Ovis aries: one gene and its partner. The protein of the gene in region 2 purifies or fractionates together with the protein of the main gene of each other region. This does not show direct contact. Links are inferred from orthologs where the notes say so. Each region holds a gene or a part of one and is shown on either strand. Other genes may lie near its edges.

Evidence for each region.
Region 1: the proteins of ANKRD46 (region 2) and ATRN purify together in Homo sapiens (co-immunoprecipitation; 3 studies listed by BioGRID and IntAct, with this or other methods). This does not show direct contact. The link is inferred for Ovis aries from reciprocal best matches to the Homo sapiens genes ANKRD46 and ATRN.

Annotation. Positions count from the first base shown.
Region 1 is NC_056066.1:51,355,634-51,359,154, forward strand, and holds part of ATRN (attractin), read right to left. Parts: intron 3,190-3,521; coding exon 2,972-3,189; intron 1-2,971. UniProt on the Homo sapiens protein: Involved in the initial immune cell clustering during inflammatory response and may regulate chemotactic activity of chemokines. May play a role in melanocortin signaling pathways that regulate energy homeostasis and hair color.
Region 2 is NC_056062.1:76,762,066-76,765,586, forward strand, and holds part of ANKRD46 (ankyrin repeat domain-containing protein 46), read left to right. Parts: intron 1-1,179; coding exon 1,180-1,517; intron 1,518-2,675; coding exon 2,676-2,834; intron 2,835-3,521.

The sequences.
Region 1 (3,521 bases), on a different chromosome or scaffold from region 2:
AAAGGCAGGGCGCACCCTCACAAAGATCCTAGCCACCTGCTCCTGAGGCTGCTCTCCCTGCCCTTGCTATCACTCCACGGCCTGGGCCCACACAGAAAGCAGAGTAAACCAGGAAGGTGACACTGGAGATGAGATCATAATGGATCATCTAAGGGAATTAAATACTATTTCCTATAAACCTGCACATTTAATTTGAACTTTTTAACATATGGTTAAAAAATAGCTACTTCACTGCTTTTATCCCTTTTAGGAGATGGTGACTAGCCCTAAAAAGTTCTGGTCATCTTGGTTCTCTAGCACTCACAAGACCACCAATGAACCTGGAAAGTTGACTGGATGGTCTTACTGAGGATTTATGTTCAGTTTAATTTGGAACATTCCAGGACAGTTGAAAGCTGCCTCTGTCCATCATAACTCACATAGTAACTACTATATCATGGTAACCCTAATAGTTAAGAAATTCAATCAAGATACTTTAAATAAACTGAAGTGAAAAAATAATTTGCAGAGACATTTTTCTTACTTTTAAAAGACTTTCCCACATATGACTTCACTGTATTGCACTGTGCTGACTGTCAGGAAAAAAAAAGGGTAATAAGAAGCTGAGAAGGTAAGGTAAAGAAAACTTGGACAATACAAGGGGTGGTTCTAGAAGCAGGGATCACTGCTCATCTTCAGCAACTGCCTGCCTTGCCATCACTGCTGTGCTCAACTAGAGAGGTTAGAAAAGAATAATACTTTGCAAAGACAGTAACTCTACCTCTATCTATTAGAACAATCTACTTCAACACAGCATTTCTGGATTAGCCCTCTTAATCTTATCCTTGATTCCAGCTTGTGTTTCTTCCAGTCTAGCATTTCTCATGAGGTACTCTGCATAGAAGTTAAATAAGCAGGGTGACAATATACAGCCTTGACGTACTCCTTTTCCTATTTGGAACCAGACTGTTGTTCCATGTCCAGTTCTAACTGTTACTTCCTGACCTGCATACAGATTTCTAAAGAGGCAGGTTAGGTGGTCTGGTATTCCCATCTCTTTTAGAATTTTCCACAGTTTATTATGATCCACACAGTCAAAGGCTTTGATATAGTCAATAAAGTAGAAATAGATGTTTTTCTGGAACTCTCTTGCTTTTTTCACAATCCAGCAGATGTTGGCAATTTGATTTCTGGTTCCTCTGCCTTTTCTAAAACCAGCTTGAACATCAGGGAGTTTACGGTTCACATATTGCTGAAGCCTGGCTTGGAGAATTTTGAGCATTACTTTACTAGCATGTGAGATGAGTGCAGAGTACATCATGAGAAACGCTGGACTGGAAGAAACACAAGCTGGAATCAAGATTGCCAGGAGAAATATCAATAATCTCAGATATGCAAATGACACCACCCTTATGGCAGAAAGTGAAGAGGAACTAAAAGCCTCTTGATGAAAGAGAAAGAGAGCGAAAAAGTTGGCTTAAAGTTCAACATTCAGAAAACGAAGATCATGGCATCTGGTCCCATCACTTCATGGCAAATAGATGGGGAAACAGTGGAAACAGTGTCAGACTTTATTTTTTGGGGCTCCAGGATCACTGCAGATGGTGACTACAGCCATGATATTAAAAGACGCTTACTCCTTGGAAGAAAAGTTATGACCAACCTAGATAGTATATTCAAAAGCAGAGACATTACTTTGCCGACTAAGGTCTGTCTAGTCAAGGCTATGGTTTTTCCTGTGGTCATGTATGGATGTGAGAGTTGGACTGTGAAGAAGGCTGAGCGCTGAAGAATTGATGCTTTTGAACTGCGGTGTTGGAGAAGACTCTTGACAGTCCCTTGGACTGCAAGGAGATCCAACCAGTCCGTTCTGAAGGAGATCAACCCTGGGATTTCTTTGGAAGGAATGATGCTAAAGCTGAAACTCTAGTACTTTGGCCACCTCATGCGAAGAGTTGACTCACTGGAAAAGACTCTGATGCTGGGAGGGATTGGGGGCAGGAGGAGAAGGGGGCAATTGAGGATGAGATGGCTGGACGGCATCACGGACTCAATGGATGTGAGTGTGAGTGAACTGCGGGAGATGGTGATGGACAGGGAGGCCTGGCGTGCTGCGATTCATGGGGTCGCAGAGTCGGACATGACTGAGCGACTGAAGTGAACTGAACTGAATCTTATCCTTAATGTCAGAACTGCATAATTCAATGTGGTAGCCACTAACCACATGTAGTTTTTATTTTTTATTTCTTTTTGGCTGCCAGTATGCAGAATCTTAGTTCCCTGTTCAGAGATGTAACCTGTGTCCCCTGCTGCAGAACAGCAGAGTCTTAACCACTGGATCGCCAGGGAAGTCCCCACATGTAGTTTTTAATTTAGTTAAAATATAAAAATTCATTTCTTCAGCCACACCAGTCTCATTCCAAGTGTTTAATAATCACAGATTGCTAGTAGCTAACATATGGGGACAGTGCAGAAATAAACATCTAGGTTCTGAAGTTGGTAGAAAAGGGGATTCCCTGGTGGCTCAGATGGTAAAGAGTTTGTCTGCAACGTAGAAGACTCAGGTTCAATCCCTGTGTTGGGAAGATTCCCTGGAGAAGGAAATGACAACCCACTCCAGTATTCTTGCCCGGAAAATCCCATGGACGGAGGAGCCTGGCAGGCTACAGTCCATGGAGTTGCAAAGAGTTGGACATGACTGAGTGACTTCACTTTCCTTTTCCTCTAGAGTAGGTATACAAAGTCTAGGCAATGTTAAAAATGTTTTTTCTTCATCATTAGCAAACAGCAGACATGGCATGTTTCCATCCACTACACAAATGTTTACAAACCAATTTTCAAACATCCATAAAGCATTTGCCTATGTTATTACTCGAATAATTTTGGATAATAAAACGAACACTGAAAGTTCACATAAGATAAGTGCCTTCACAATTGAGATAAAAAGATTTCAAATTAACTACATTTTAAGAAGAGGAAAAAAAAAACATACTTCTTTTAGAAAAACATTCTGACTTTATCTTTTCTTGTGCTTCAGGTGCCAGCTCCCAGGAGACACACTGAGATGACCCTGTGTCCCACACACACCGGACACCAGGTCCTGCTGCAAGACAAGCAGCTTCACTCTGGTGTGCTTCACACTGTTCCGATGTGAATACTAGGATGTCACTGAGGAGGAGACTATTAAAACCACCAAATACATACATGGTTCTAAAAGAAAAAAAAAGAGAGAAAAAGAGTTTACTGGAAACCTACATAAACAAATGCATGATACACTTTTTATAATCTTTAGACAAACCTCACATATCAAAAGTCCTGTAAAAAGTAATCTTTCAAGATCTCAAAAATCACTCTTATACCTTACTTCCCAAATTCCAACCTTTCACAATGGCCTATGACTAGTCAGAACAGTTACAATAACCTATCTATTCTTCTGGCTGCTAGCATAGATAAAGGCTCTCTAATCAAAACTGTGTAATGAAAACAGACCAATAAGAAAGAGATGAGTGCATATAGAAATTTAATGCACAGTACAAGCTGTA
Region 2 (3,521 bases):
ACTCCTTAGTAAAGTTTCTTTTGTCAGGCTCTAACTTTTTCTTAAACGAATCAAGGAAGAGATGGTTGCAGGTGGGGTAGAGATGCACACGCATGCTTGTACACTGAGAGACCCGAGAGATTGCTAGGGGCAGGGAGTGTCAGTGAAAGAGGTGTGGACAAACCCGTTGGTGAAGTGAGTCTACTCGGATGGATGCAATATTAGCATGGACACAGCTATTCCCATGGAGACCTCATCTTTCCATCTTCAGACAGTGGGCGTTTGGCAAAATCAGGTAGCTAGATAACCATAGAATAACCAAAGCAGAATAGGATCAGTACTGTAAAAAAGATGGACATTCTTAATTTCATGATAGGTCTCGTTTTTAAATTTAGTTTGCTGCTTTCCTTAGCTTTTCTCTTTCTATTAAAATTTGACCTCTGTGCTCTAAACAGCATTTGAAAGTGAAACTGACAGTCACTCCGTCGTGTCCAACTCTTTGCAACCCCCTGGACTGTAGCCCGCCAGGCTCCTTTGTCCTTGGGACTTCCCAGGCAAGATACTGGAGTGGGGAGCCCTGCTTTCCACCAGGGGACCTTCCCGACCCAGGGATCGAACCCACATCTGCATCTCCTGCAGTGGCGGGCAGACTTTTTACCCACTGAGCCATCAGGGAAGCCCCAGACAGCATCAAGCAGGTCCTTACGGAGTGTGAATTAAGTTAACTGTCTTTTTTCATGCTGATTTAGTTAACTTTTGAGCACATGATTCTGTTTTACCGTATAGAATATCTCAAGTACAGTAAGAAGCAAATATATGAAAGAGAACTACTGTGTGTGCATGTGAGTGTGCGTGTAAGGAACTTCCTGTCTGTGTCTTCTGACAATGTAATAAAGCTAAACCTAAGCACTTAATGTCTTGCTTTACTTTAAAAATATCTCAGTCTTTTTATATGATGAAAACTGCAATCGGGCTTTATGATAATTTAATTGCAATTTTGATCCAGCAGACATGGGAAAACTTAGACATTTTAATGGAAAATAAGATATAATTGATAACTCTGATGTTTCTCTTTGGTGAAGTCATTTATTAGAGGCGGGAGACCAAGAAGAATAAGAAATAGTACTTTTCTAAATGACTTCACTCTCTTGATTTAGTTTGGCTTCTCTGAATCTCAACTCACCTCATGTTTCTTTACAGGCACATTCCATCCACCACATCCGAACAATGTCCTACGTTTTTGTAAATGATTCTTCTCAGACTAATGTACCCTTGCTGCAGGCCTGTATTGATGGAGACTTTAACTACTCCAAGAGGCTTTTGGAAAGTGGCTTTGACCCAAATATCCGCGACAGCAGGGGCAGAACAGGCCTTCACCTCGCAGCAGCCCGAGGGAATGTAGACATCTGCCAGTTGTTACATAAATTTGGTGCTGATCTCCTGGCCACTGATTATCAGGGAAACACGGCTCTTCATCTCTGTGGCCATGTGGATACTATTCAATTCTTGGTTTCCAATGGACTCAAAATTGATATTTGGTAAGTTCTGTGGTTTTTGAAGTCTCGTCACTTCCTCCCATTAGCCTCTCAACCAGTGGTCTACTCTTGAAATCTATCGATTTTGTTTCCTCATTGATCAAGTGTAGTGACAAGCTCAGAAAGGTATTGAGGACAATGAGTGAAGGAACAGGAGCCTGACTTCTAGATTTGTGCTGAAGCAATGTAAAGTTTTCTATGAAAATAGTGGCTAAGTTCTGCTACTAATTAATTAGGTATTATAAGACAAGGGAAAAAGAAGAACTAACATTTGTTGAAAATCTATTATGACCTGGGCACTGCGTTTACTGTGTTAGCTCATTTACCCTTCAGAATGAATAGCTCTTAAGTATTCGTTTTATAGATGAAATAGCTGAGACAAGAATTCTGGGTTAAATGACTTAACACAGTTGGAATTTAAAACTAGTTCCACCTGGTTCCAAAGCTTGTTTGCCTTCTATCATGTAATATACCATGCTAGCTTCATTATCTCTCTGGACTCAGAGTCCTTCTTATACTGAACAATTTGAAGTAGTGTTTTTTGTTTTGTTTTTGTGATACCTTGTCTCTTGAGTAGGAATAAAATCAGGTCACTTTAAAAAGAAACCTTGACCTTTAAGCTACATTTTTTATGCCTAATTTATTGGTGCTATAATGTCCCTAAATCCGAATAAGACAGTAAATGATACTGCTACTATAGAACAAAATGTGGTAGGAATTAACTATAAGGTTCAGTGTTAGTTGGGCTTTCTCCTGTTGTTAAATGGTTAGGTGAACCAAAGCAGATTATTTGATTGCTTTTGAGCTTGGGTTTTTTTTCCTTTTGGTTCTTAGACATTTTAAAAAATAGACACTCTTCTCATGAAATATATAAATGTCAGATAAGAATGAATCTAGAATCTAGACTTTTCCAATTAGTTTCTAGGAAGATGCCCTTTTTTTCTTTATTCTCATTTATCTACTCTTAACTAGTATATATGTTTCCTTTTTCCTAAAAGAAAAAAAAGGTTAACTCAAAATTCAGGCTCCATCTCAACCACTGGTTCTGCTCTGGTTTTAAATTTTGAGTTAATGGGGCCCATGCCTTCCTCACTGAGATCTCCACAAATGGCTAATAACAGTGTAGTGTAACAGCTATTTTTATTTTTATGAACTTTTTAGCAACCATCAAGGTGCTACACCCCTAGTTCTGGCAAAGCGCAGGGGAGTGAATAAAGATGTCATCCGATTGCTGGAATCGTTGGAAGAACAGGAGGTAAAAGGATTTAACAGAGGAACTCACTCAAAACTAGAGACCATGCAGACAGCTGAGAGTGAAAGGTACTTAAGATTTCATTTTTTTAAGAGGCAAGTCACTTCAAGTGAATCTTTTTTTGTGGTTTGTTTCTTTTGTCTTTTTTAATGTATTTGTTTTTAATTGGAGGATAATTGCTTTACAGTATTGTGCTGGTTTCTGCCATACATCCACATGGATCAGCCATAGGCATCCACATGTCCCCTCCCTCTTGAGCCTCCCCGACACCACCGCCCCGCCATCCTACCTCCCAGGGTGTCACAGAGCACCAGTGTGAGCTCCCTGCGGCAGGTCTCAAGTCCCCGCCAGCCCTCTGCTTTCTGTGTGATGACATACATTTCAGTGCTCCTCTCTCAGTCCGTCCCGCCCCCCCCTTCCCCCTCTGTGGCCACAAGCCTGTTCTCTGTGTCTGTGTCTCCGTTGCTCCCCTGCGAGTAGGATCGTCAGTACCGTCTTTGTAGAGTCCATTTACATGTGTTAACATACACGGTATTTTTCACTTTCTGACTTACTTCACTCTGTTTAATAGGCTCTAGGTTCATCTGCCTCATTAGAATTGACTCAAATGCGTTCCTTTTTGTAGCTGAGTAATATTCCATCTTGTATATCTTCTATAGCTTCTTTATCCATTCATCTGTCTATGGACATCTAGATTCTTCCATGTCCTAGCTGTTGTAAATAGTGCTGCAATGAACATTGGGGTGCATATGTCT